Cricetulus griseus: one gene and its partners. The protein of the gene in region 1 interacts with the protein of each later gene in a biochemical or structural test. Links are inferred from orthologs where the notes say so. Each region holds a gene or a part of one and is shown in the gene's direction. Other genes may lie near its edges.

Region 1 (4,045 bases):
CTTCAGCAGGAAAGAGAACTCTCTCGGCCATATGTTGGCCAAATCCGAAGGAATACAAGAGGAAACTGCTCCCCTATTTCATTTACTGAGCTACACAGCCAAGCGAATACACGGCGGCGCTCCCGCCGGCGTCCACATTTTTAATCAGGTCAGTTTACAAGGAGCCTTTAAAAGGTGCTCCAAAAGCGAGGTCCTGGGCGCAGATGGAACCCGTTTGTTTCGCCCGGGTGGGCGCGCGCCAGGGGGTCCGGGCCGAAGGGCAGGGGAAGGCGGCTGGGGAGGGGGCGGCGATCCGGACGGCGGCTCCCGCAGGCTTCGCCCGGCGCCCGCAACAAGTGGAGCAGAAGCTTCACCGGCTAATTAGCGCCGCCAGGACCCGCCCCGCGCGCCGGCCGGGGTCGAATCTGCAGCACCGGCGGAGCCGCGGGGCGGGGATTAGTTCGGATTCAAATTGAAAGCGGGACGGCCGCGCGTGGCCCAGCAGGTGCCTCGTGCCCGCGGCCCGCCGAGGGCGTTTCCGCCCCCACCTGCCCGCAGGGCCGGAAATTACCTCGGAGGGGAGCGGCCCCTCCATTGTCCGAGCCAACTGCGAGGGAAGATTTAAGAAAGTGCCGAGCGAGCGAGCGAGAGAGTGAGCGAGCGCCGGGGGCGCGGGGCTGTGGAGCGCTCCCTCGGTCCTCGTCGTCCTCGCTGTTAGCCGCCGTGCACGCTGCCCTTCTACGCTCCCGCCATGGGGACCCCGAACTGATCCGGGAAGGGGATAACGCGGAGGATGGGAGCATTTATCGGAAGACACACGACACGAGCACTTGACAGACTACACTCGGAGGTGAAGCTGCACTCGGGGACGAGGGTGGAGGGGAGCGCATGCGCCTTGCTCCTCCCAGGCGCGGGGGAGGAGGGGGACGGACGGACGGGGGAGGGAAACTGCGCGTGCGCGTAGCCTACGGAGGCAAGGCATGACTGGCAGGTCGCGGGCACCGGAGCTGCCGGAGGGGGCCTGGCAGCCTGAGCGCGCGTGCGCACAGGGGCGCGCGGGGGGGGGTGGAGCTCTTCCGAGGGGGCCGGCGGAGGGCAGCGCCGGCCTCGTGCGCCCCCTGGCGCGCGCCTCGGGAGAGGAAGGAACGGGAGGGTGCGGAGAGGAGGAGGGAGGAGGAGGAGGCGGTCGGGGCGGGAGGGGGAGGGGAGCGGGAGCGAGGGAGGGTTTATCGACCGGGCGATTTTGGTTAAAATATTCAAAATGGCGGACGGAGGAGCAGCGAGTCAAGATGAGAGTTCAGCCGCGGCGGCAGCAGCAGCAGGTAATCATTACAGCATTTTACATATTCATATTCATACTCAACCCCGGCTCCCGCTGCCCCCCCCGCGACTTAGCATAATTTATTAGTACTCAGGATTATTATAATTAACGGCGAGGAGATGGGGGGCCGGGGAACACGGACCCCTCCGGGCGCCCAGCGGAGGGGGAAAGGAGCTCGGGGCGGCCGGGCGGAGGGGGAAGAAGACCCGGGGCAAAGGGGGCTGTGAAAGCGCCACGCTCCTCCTGCCCCCGGCCCACCCCGCCGCCGCACCGGCCCGCCCGCCCGCCCGCCGGCACCGGCCCTCCTCCTCCTCCTCCTCCGCCGCCGCCGCCGGAGCGGCCGCCCCTCTCGCCCGGTGCCCGAATCGGAGCGGGTCCGCGGCGGGCGGCGGGGCCGGGACACCGGGAGAGGACAATAAAGACATTTTACATATTCATAGCTGCTGGGCTGGCGGGGCGCGGCGGGGCGCGGGCGGGAGACCCGGACGGGCGATCGGGCGGGCGGGCGGGCAGGGGGGGCGTGGAGGGGCCAGAGGTGGCGGCGAGCACAATGCCGGTGGGCGGCGAGGCCGGAGCGGACCCCGGCGGCCGGACACCCGCGGCGGCGCCCCAGGATTGGGAGCCGGCGCGGGCTCGGTCCGGGGGACGCTGCTCCGCCGCGGGGAGCATCGGGGGTGGCGCTCTGCCGCGGCCGCGCGGGGGTCCTCGTGGGGCCGAGCCCGGGGGTCACGGCCCGGGCCCCTCGGCCGCGCCCTGCCGGTGCCCCGGGCGGCGGCCTGACCCCAGCGGCTCCGCGTCCGTGATCAGGGGCTGCGTGGCATGGGCCCCGGGACGTGGCCTTCGGGCTCGGAGTCCGCTCCGGGGTCCTTCGGTCCCTTCGGAGGCTGGGCTGGGTGGGAGGAGCCCTCGGGGAAGTTCCCCCCCCCCCGTGGAAATGGCTTCGGTCGTCCGTGTGTCCCGGGCCCGCACCCAGAGGGCCCCGCGTGTCTGGAGAAACCCCGCTGTTGTGGGGTTGCGGGACAGTCTGGCTTTGGTCGCTCCTCCGCGCACGCCCCCACCCTCCCCACGCGAGGGTGGCATTGGGGACCCTCTCGCTCCGAGGCCCGGGAGCTCCTGGAGACCACCCGAGAACTCGACCGTAAAGGGTTGCCCTCCTGCCCTCAAAGGGCTGGCCGGACAAGTTGATCATATTCTAGATTTCTTCTGTCCTGCGGGGAGCGGGGGTGGTGGCCAGACACGGAGATTCCCCTCCCCTCCTGAGTGTGGTGGTGCCTTCTCGCTGCGTGCTGGGTCCTCTACTTGCTTCTCATTTGAATAATGTCTAATTCAGGGAGGTTTATATTCTTGAAATGGCCGCCTGGCTTTCCCCGCCTCTCATGTTTAGTAATTCAGACCTTTAATAACAGCCACTCACAGCCCAACGCCGTGTTTATATTTTACATTCGCCCCATGTGCTTTTGTGGTTCGATATGATTCTCTCTCTTTTTTTTTTTCTCCTCCTCCTTGGCAATCCACAAGGCTCTGAGATCAAACCCAGTCTGTGCTAGGAAGACAAGGAGAGAACTAGGCCTGGACTGCCCCAGTAGCTGCCTAGGCCTTGTTCTCTGCTGCTTGATTTATTTACTAATAACCAAAATGACTCCCCCACCAACTGCCACTTGAGTCCCCTCCTCCGCGGGCAGAACACATCCTCTTGGGACCTTCCAGCATTAAAAACAGCTCGAGCTGAGCATCAGCTCTGTAGTGGCTTGTTTTCGCCTAAAAGGAGTTTCTCTTGCAGTTTGCAGTAACGAGGACCTTATTTCCAATTTTCAGAGGCTTATGAGGGCTACTGGCTTAGTACAAATAGAGAACTTTGTTGTGGGCATAGTCTCCTTCTCCCCAAGTTAAACTCATTCGGGCTTTGTAAAGATTTGTAGTATTTGTAAAACCCGTAGATTTTTCCTTCCAGGAGCTGAGGAGCAGCTAGGTAGTTTAGAAAGTCCAGTTGACAACACTTGGGTTGTTTCTGCTTTTCCAGTTACTGCACTGACGCTCATGCTGTGCTACCACTGACACAAACCTGCTTATTTTAATCGGAGCAGCACCGAAAACAGAAATGGGGTTATGTTTTCTGTGAGTGTTGGTGTCATGGTTAAATGAGTGAAAATAGAAGATAAACACAGGCATTGTGTCTACCCTGATCTTGGAACTTACTCAGCATGCCCACCCCTTGCTTTAAGGTGTCAGAATTGATTTTGTTTTATCTAGACTTAAGACAATTGGCCTGTGAAAACCAATTAAGTTTTATTGTTGAGAGAAAACAATCATTTTGATTTCTGGTCTGTCCTGTAAGTGTTTTGTTTTTAAAAGGTGTTGCTTTCTAGGGCAAGTATACGAGGAGTCCTGTTGGTGTTAAGCCACTTCAGTTTAACTTGTAACAGCATTTCAGAGTTAGGGGACTCAGTGCAAATTCATTTAAAATAACTAGGTCTCACCATTTTCCCCTTTCACATCCAGTAGGTAAGCCCTGAATGAAGTGGGGGGGGGAGCTTTTCTGAGAATGCCCAGGTGAATAACCACTTCAGAGAGCTGAAGCATGAAGGTAGATGGACAAAAAGCAGTAATGATTTCATGCCTTAAATAGCATATGTTTTTGCACCCAGTTCCCAAGATGTGGTCAGACTGATGATGTCATTGGAGAGAGGACAAGGTGCAGTTAATGTGATTTATTGTCCTGAGGTGAAGTATAGCAATGGAGCCTTC
Region 2 (4,026 bases), on another chromosome or scaffold:
TTTTTTGTCTGGAGAGGAGGTGCTTTCTTTGGGCAGCACCCACGATGTGCCTGTGGACTTTGGTAAGCCCCTCTGCCAGGGCCTCCACGCTGGATGTTGGTCTGGCAGGCACCAGCTGGGAGTGGAGGGAGGCGGGACTGCCGGTTGCCTGGCTTGGCTCAGGGACACAGTGCGCTTAGGGAGGCTGGCTTGGCTCTGCTCAGGTAGCTCACACCCAAATCCGAATTCCAGCCGCCCAAGACGGCGGGCGGGTTGCGGAGGAGGCCCAGGCTCTCTCTGGGTAGGAGTGCTTCCTTTCGTTTTAAAACAAACAAATCATGAATTTAAAAGTCAGGGCAGAGAGCTGCCCAAGGTATATAAATAGCCTGGGGCCACTGGGCGATGTCCGAAGCGGGCCGCAGCGCCTCTCGAACCCCGCACCTCAGAAGAGGGCTGGGGCCGTCGGGGTAACACCGGTACGCGGACGCCCCCCCCCCCCGCCCCGGGTCTGGCCTTCGGTCGGTCAGATACCATGGTTCTCTCTGGGCCTCCCGCGTGTAAGTGGGAGGGCACTGGGGCATCCCCCTGCCCAGCTGCTTGCCTCTGGCTCATCACCCCTCCCCGGCCTCAGTTTCCCCATGTGTCCCTTGGGGTGCACGGGGCCTCAGCTCTCCTTTAGGGAGCCCTGCCAGACCATGGTCCCCGAGCGACCACGGCTGGCCTCTTTGTGTGTCCGCGCAGACAATGGCCCGGCCGCTGAGCTCTCCTCTTGGCCCCGCTCTCCTCCTCCTCCACCACGGGCCGCGGGGATTTTGGGCAGCCGGGGAGGGAAGGCTGCTTCAGCCGGCCGCCCCGCCCTCCTCCCACGCCGCCGCCCCACGGCTCCCGGGAACCCCTGGCAGACGCAAACTTGCAAGTTTGCAGGACGCTCACAACTCGGGGCCGGGCGGCGAGCGCGGGGCGGCGGCGACAGCGGCGGGCGGGGCGCGCACCGGCTGCGGGCGGGGCGAGTGGCGGCGGCGGCGCTGCGCCGAGTCCGCGCCCGTCGCGGGCCCCCCGCCGCTCCCCCCCGCTGCAGGCCGGGCCGGAGCGGGTCGCGGCGCGCGGCGGAGGCGCGGGCGGCGGACACGCGCGCCGGGCGCGCGCAGGCACAAGTAGTTTACATTGTTGGGCGACTTTTGCAACAACTCGCCGCGCCGCGGCCTCCGCGCGCCGCCGCCGCCGCCGCTGCCCGCCGCCCCGCCGCCGGGCCGGGCCGGCCGGCCGGGGGCCGCTGCGCTGTCGCCCTGCTGCTCCGCCGCCAGCCGGGAAGTTAGTCGCAGACATGGACACCAAACATTTCCTGCCGCTCGGTGAGTGCCGGCCGCGGCGGCGCGGGCGAGGGAGGGGGCCGGGGCTGGCGGGGCGGGGGCGCGTGCGCAGCGCGCGTGGGGGGTCCGGCCAGGCCCGCTGGGCCCCGCGCTGTGGCGGTACCGAGAGTTGGCGCGCCGGGCCCGGGGAGGCGAGTGGGCACAGGGCAACTTTTCCCGGGCCCGGGCTCGCGGCGGGAGAGGGCGAGGGCACCGGGCCTCTGACTTGTCGGGGAGCGGGAGTGGGCGGCGGGGCTGGGGCGAGCGGCAGGTTCGCTCAAGACGTGGAGAGGGGTCCCTCACGGTGCGCGTAGCGCGTCCGCAGAACCCCGGGGCGCCCAGCCTCAGCCGCCCAGAATCCGGCCACGCCGGAGGAGCAACTTCTGCGCTTGCTGGAGGGCTCCGGGCCTCCTTGGCACTGGGATGGGGGCGACGCGCTGGGCTCCGGGAGGCCACTGCTCCTCCGGGCTCGTCGGGCTGCTGTTTGGAGCAGGCCGCTGGCCCCTGGGTGTCTGTTGGCCCAGACGGAGTCTGCGATCTTGCCGTTCCCCGACAGCAGCCCAAACCTAGGTGGGCATGGTCACCCAGGGGCCTCTGATGAGGAGCATCAAACCCAGAACTGGGGCCCCACGCTCTGGCACCCCTAGTTGTTCTCCCTGGTATTTAGGGGGGGAGAACAGCCCATAGGCAGAAGAGTCCGTTTTCTTGTCTTGCTGCCCTCCCGCCAGCAGCTCTCAGTGACCGTCAGCCTGCCAACTCCGGGAGTGGAACCCAGCAGGGTCGGAGCCCCCCAATCCATTGCTCTCGCAGGGATTTTGGGAGCCAGAGGGAAACAGTGTAGAGAGACTTTATAAATGAGCTCTGGGAAGGATATTAATTTGGTGGTGAGGACAGCAGCCAGGCTGTCAGGCTGATGAAGAATTTGTGCTGAATGGAAATCAGGACAGCTGATTATGGACGAAGCTCCATGATGATCAGTGCCTCTTTGCTTGGCCATCCCCTATGAAGCTTGGGGTGCAGTTTTGCTACCCCTAGGGGTGATCAGAACCCAGCATGGCTTCCAGGATTTTTGGTGATTTGGGGAGGTGGCACCCCCTTGGCCCCAGCCTTCTTACAGCTCCCAGACAGGTCTGCTGCAGAGTGACTTTGATAGAGTGTTCCAAGTTTGTCAAAGCTTCAGACACTTCGTCCTTATGAGCGGTGCTGAAGACCATGGGGGCTCAGCTGAGCTTGAGGGTCTGGCTCCCAGGGTGTAAACTCTGTCCATGTTGTAGTTGAGAAACTGGCTTGGAGAGGCCGCACTTAGAGACTGTAAATGGTGGATTTGGCGTTGGAGCCCCCTGCCAAAGTCCACTGACAAGAAAGCTGTATTACTGTGGCATGTTGCTGTGGGGCCTGATGTGGGGTTGGTGGGACCCCTGAGACACCTCTTTCTCCTCCACCCAAGCCTTTATGTGTTCAGAGCTGGGTCCTTAGGACAGGAATGCTTTGCTTAGTCTCTGGCCTGGATCATGGCTAGGGCCTGGCAATACTTTGCCTAGATCCAGGGATGGGAAACAACATGCCAGGAGGGACAGAGCCCATTCTAGAAGTTGACACATACAGTTGCAGGGTGACTGGGCTAGAGTCTTCAACAAGAGGAGTTGTGTCTTGGAGCTGTTGTCCCCCCACAAGGAGACCCAGAGTCTTGGGTTCACAGAGTGGTGGCTCTCAGGACCAGCTTGTGGCCTCCCAGGCAGCTTGTGCCCCAGGGCTGAGTGGTGAGTCCTGGGCTCTGAATACATTTTATTTTTTACTAAGCTTGTGACCAGCTCTGAAGTCCAGTGCAGTTGAAGGTCCATTTAAGCAGCTACTTGCCTAAGCCCTTTTGTCAACACAGCCTAATCCCTCCTGGGGGCTGAGTGTCAGAGGATCTGGCTCATCCAGGGTCCCCACTGACAACTTAGGTTTGACTTGAAGTGGCTGGGAAGATTTGGCCGTCCTTTTTTCACTACCCTGCCACTTTTGGGGTCTGAGACTGAGGGCTCTTCCCAGTGTGCACTGTGTGGGGTTTGGTGGTTCAGATAGCCTCTGAGCCTCTCTCCACTGAGTTGATCTGTATGGGACAGATCTGAGAAGAAAGGGAGGATGGGGAATTTGCCCCAGGCAGTCCCTGTTTCCTGGCTTTGCTGCCCAGGGCTGGAGTTGGGGAGTGGGGTAAGGGCTCAGCCTGGCCTCAGCTTGGATGGTGGGACTGTAAGGCTGAGCCTGCAGAGTCCAAAGGTCCCAAGCCTGCACTGACCCTCTCAGCTGTGTGGCTCATTTGTATGTGAGGGTAACAGGTTTCCAGAAGTGGGGCTCTAGGCCTCCAACCACCCTCTTGTGTGGTTCTTGGGGATCTAGTGAACTTGGGGCCTGTGTGAGGGGGCTTTTAGTAACATTGGAGCCCTTGTGACCCAAAATAGAGCACATTCCGGTCGTCCCGAAATAACAGGGTCACATGACTCTCAGGAGGCTGGGCTTGGAGTCCAGCTTGGGCCTGACGAGGCAGTTCACGGTTAGGCCCCCAGCTGCCTACTGATTTGGGCATTTGTTTTGGGAAACTCTGGAGGGGACTCTGTTGTTGACTGAGGAAGTGTTAGGGTGAGAAAAAGTGACCCCCTGTTGGTGGTCTGACTGTGGTAGTGGCCTTGTCTGCCTGTATTCTCTTTTGGGCTGG
Region 3 (4,074 bases), on another chromosome or scaffold:
CCAAAGAACAACTTTCTTCCTGTTTGGAAAAAAGTATCAGCTAGTCTCCATAAATGAAAATGGTAAATTTGAAAACCTTGAGAACTTGACTCTAAGAAGAGCACCTGCAGCAGCATTTCCGTAAAGAATGTGAATAAGCCTGTGGCCTACCTGAGCTCAAGTTTCCCAGAAGACCTCAGCTATCTCAGGCCACCAAGACAAACAAGACTCTTCACATTAAAGTGTCAGCAAGTTTTCAGATTTTGTTTTCAGTAGAAGCTGGGACAAGTTCGTTAGCCCTAGGCTTGAAGTCCTATTGTTCAATTATTTGTTTTGGTTTTGCTACAAGTAAAGAGAGTGTTAGTTGTCTTTCTCCTTAATGAGCTCTATTTTCTTTTGGATAAAATTGAACACCAGCAGTGAAAGAAAACATTCAAAGTGGTTATGGGGTGGGGATTGATACCAGAACTGTCTTAAGTGATAGTATGGGTCATGTGACCTTCTCATCTAGGTGGCTTTCATCTTTCAAAGTGACCCCTGAGGTTCAACTAGTTATGAATTCAACCTTGAGCAGTCTGTCAATCTGGGACAGAAAGGCTCCTAGAGCTGTGAGGATGCCTGTTCTGTGGCTCCCTACGATGTAAATCCCAGTTTAACCTGCATATTACACCGTTTTTAGGGTAGAGCTCTTAACTGTTATCCAGTCTGTTGCTTGTCTGGGGACCCATGGGAAATCTCAATGTGTGAGGCAAGGCTCTTCTCTCAGAAAACACCTGATGGACATGGGCTCTTTTAAAGCTATTCTGAAAGACAAGTTACTGATGACTAGGACCTGGCTCCTGGCTCTTTAGTTGAGTGGGATGTGTATTGTGGTTTGCATGGGGTTATTAAATAAATAGGTGCTGATGGGTTTGCATATTTCCTTAGTGAGATTTTATTATGCCTTCATTGAGAAAACCCGAGTGCTTATTTAACTCAGAAGGAACCTGTGTTCTCTCAGCCTGGTGGAGCCTGAGTACTGATGCCACTGTGCATACAGGTAGCTATATAACCTGTTGGTTTCAAACTGTTGTGCTGTGGTGGAATGGCAGCCCCAGGATTCCTGCAGCAGGTCTGGGTGTGTGACAGGGGAAGTGAAATGCCCTCTGCCGACTGTTTATGCCTCTAGATCTTTTACTGCTCTTTTTGGAAAAAGGAAGCTCTCTCTTATGTCTGTGACCAAATGGGTGTGTTTTGCTATCAACTAGCCTTTTAAAACTTTTTTTTTCTTCCTGGAATACATTGGCAGTTTATGGGCAATAGTAAAGAAAGGCAGTATGGTGAACTCCTGTCCAAAGAGATTGCCAGAGGTTATGTTCAGATGGACTGGTTTTCCATTGTGATGGACTCTTCAGGCCTACAGACGCTCAAGGGCTCTTCACATCGCAGGAGGAAGGGTGAGGAACCATCTAGCTTTACTAGAAGGCTGCCCAGAGCTGCAGTTTGATTCGAGAATTATTAAACTCTCTATTTATCACTAGTCTGGATGCTCTTCTTCTCTGATGATACAGTATTATTTCCATTTCTACTTTATTCTCTTCACATACTATTTTAAAAACTGCTATTTTACATTATGTTAATATTTTGTTTAAAAAGTCCTGAACTATTTCAGTGCAGTTATTGCAAAGTTATGTCAGTTCAAGGACTCAGCAGCCCCAAGTTAAAGCAATGGTGACTTTGGACAAACTTCTTTTCTTCTTCCAAATTTCCATAGTGGGCTCCATTCTGGTGCTGGCAGCAGCTGAGGTCACAGTGTTTACTGGGGAATTATGCTGATTGTTACTTAATGTAGATTAGTGTGAAAGACCCCAACTGCAAGTTGTCAGTTTGCAAATATTCTTGTCTATTGAGCCTCCTGGGCAGACATCTTGATGCTTTGGCTTCTCATATTTCAAGGCGCTTTGCAGAGACACCTCAGAAGCAACCCCACTTCTGCCTGCTCAGGGAGCCAGTTACAGGATTCCTTGTCAGCTGTCTAAGGACACAGAGCTGTGGGAGTGTCCCAGCTGTACTAGACCAGTTCAAGAGAGGAAATAGCACCAGAGAGGGAATGGGACCTGGAGGCCTCTAGGCCCTTCCCCAGAATTGTACATGCAAATCAGAGGTCCATGGGTAACATTCCTGTCTGTGATCTGGACTGAGACGTATGCATAGTGTTCCCCAACTGAATTCAGGGTGTGACCATAGTACTTAGACCATCTCCTTCCTTTGGTCCAAAACCTCATTATTTTTTTCTGAGAGTACAGTATCTCAAGTTAGGCTCTGTGCCTGAGGAATGGAAGGAAACCTAAGAAGAGGTAGGCAGAGATTGAGTGACATGTCTGTGAAGAAAACTGTTGTGGTCATGAATGATCCTGAGAAGGGAGCAGCAGCAGCATGAAGCAGCGGCAGAGATGCCTTACTGTCGCTCATGGCAGTCCATACACACTTGTGTCTGTGTGTAGCACTCAACAGTATTCTGTGGACAGGGTGCACAAGCATTGCTGGTGCAGGAGTGCTGCACTCTGAAGGAAGATTTGAGGTTAAAAACATGTCACTGAGAAGTTAAAAACATGTCTCCATTTTACAGATAAGGAAATTGAGGCCTAGAGTCATTACATAAATCTGCGGATTTTCTACTAGTAAGTGACAGCCCATATTTGAACGCAGGTAGTTTTGGCTGTTAAGTCTGTTGTCATTGCTGTTTTGAACAATGATGAAGGTGGTTTCAGGGCACAAAATACTATGCTGGTTCTTACGCTCTTACGTCAGCCCAAACCTCTCATTTGTTACATTCATCTCACTGGTAGGTATTGTATTGCTTCTTTCCTCTGCTATACTTTACAACCCACATGTGCAGGGCCCACATCCACGTGTGTCCAGAAACTTTTTGGAAGAATGAGGATGGGAGTAGGGATTCCCTTTTATCACAGAGGACACTAACACGAGGATCATCTCTTACTGGGATGTTATGGAGCAGCTCTTGTGTTAACTAAGGGATGAAGTATCAGAGTCAGGTTTGAAGATGACCTCAGGCATTTTTATATAATTTATATATCTACATAATTTTTATATATCCAGACTCTTTGACTTAAGTGGATTGTCCAAACCATATTTCTGGGGAGCAAGATCCCAGGTATCTGTATTTTACATCAGTTTCCAGTAGATTTTGCACTGTGGTCAGTTAGGACACCATAGCATATATAGGTCTGATACCTAGTCTGAGAGCTGGGGTCCTGACACTAACGGTCTGCCTCCAAAGGTCATTCCCCTTTGCTTGCTGGCTCTGCATGGCTTCTTTGCCTCCTGTCCTTCAAGACCAGATCATGTTGGTGCTGGGAGCCTAAGAATCCCATGGGAGATCTTGGGCAGCATGAGGCACACATTGTTATCACTATCAGCTGGGTGTTTACTGAACAAAGTTCAGTTCAGGCTGCCCTGTGGATCCGGGTTGAACAGATACCCAGGCTTCCGGGCCTTTGATACAAAGCCTGGGTCCCTGGCCCCTTATCAGTGGAGGATAATGGGTTCCTTATGTGAGTCCCAGAGACCATTGCTTCTTGATCTTGGGTGACCTAGCTCTTGGCCTGCCCTCCATGGGCCTTTCCATCTGTATAGGTAGTTTGTTTCTGATCTCCCAGCAAGAGAAAATGCTATACCTTGGCTCTGGTTTTGTTGATACTTTAGATTCTTGGATTTTTTGACAAAAGGGAACAGAAACATTTTCCCAGTAGCAAGGTGGACACTCCACTCCAGGTCACATGAATCATCACTGGGTATTTGTCTCTTGTACTGAGGATCACCATGCACCTGGCAGACACTTTTTTTTTTCAGTCCATTAACCCTAAAGGTCCAGGAGAGTTGAAAGGATGATAAAAGGAAGTACATTTGAAAGCACCTCCCAGATGATTAGTTAACGTTCAGCCAAGACTAAGATATAGATAACTTAGGCATGTCTGCCACTTGAGAAGGCAGAGACAAGGCACAATAGATCAAGAAGCTTATAATCTCATTGGAAGCATTTTAAGCTCACATGAACAAGAAAAACTAATCATTACCTAGCAGGCCATAGATTGA

Evidence for each region.
Region 2: the proteins of Pou2f1 (region 1) and Rxra form a complex in vitro, tested with the Homo sapiens proteins (2 studies listed by BioGRID). The link is inferred for Cricetulus griseus from reciprocal best matches to the Homo sapiens genes POU2F1 and RXRA.
Region 3: the proteins of Pou2f1 (region 1) and Pou2af1 are reported together in a solved structure, tested with the Homo sapiens proteins (2 studies listed by BioGRID, with this or other methods). The link is inferred for Cricetulus griseus from reciprocal best matches to the Homo sapiens genes POU2F1 and POU2AF1.

Annotation. Positions count from the first base shown.
Region 1 is NC_048598.1:26,467,869-26,471,913, forward strand, and holds the start of Pou2f1 (POU domain, class 2, transcription factor 1), read left to right. Parts: upstream 1-1,235; 5' UTR 1,236-1,240; coding exon 1,241-1,301; intron 1,302-4,045. UniProt on the Homo sapiens protein: Transcription factor that binds to the octamer motif (5'-ATTTGCAT-3') and activates the promoters of the genes for some small nuclear RNAs (snRNA) and of genes such as those for histone H2B and immunoglobulins.
Region 2 is NC_048599.1:139,356,510-139,360,535, forward strand, and holds the start of Rxra (retinoic acid receptor RXR-alpha), read left to right. Parts: upstream 1-1,222; 5' UTR 1,223-1,303; coding exon 1,304-1,331; intron 1,332-4,026. UniProt on the Homo sapiens protein: Receptor for retinoic acid that acts as a transcription factor.
Region 3 is NC_048597.1:162,976,974-162,981,047, forward strand, and holds the start of Pou2af1 (POU domain class 2-associating factor 1), read left to right. Parts: upstream 1-1,270; coding exon 1,271-1,415; intron 1,416-4,074. UniProt on the Homo sapiens protein: Transcriptional coactivator that specifically associates with either POU2F1/OCT1 or POU2F2/OCT2. It boosts the POU2F1/OCT1 mediated promoter activity and to a lesser extent, that of POU2F2/OCT2. It recognizes the POU domains of POU2F1/OCT1 and POU2F2/OCT2.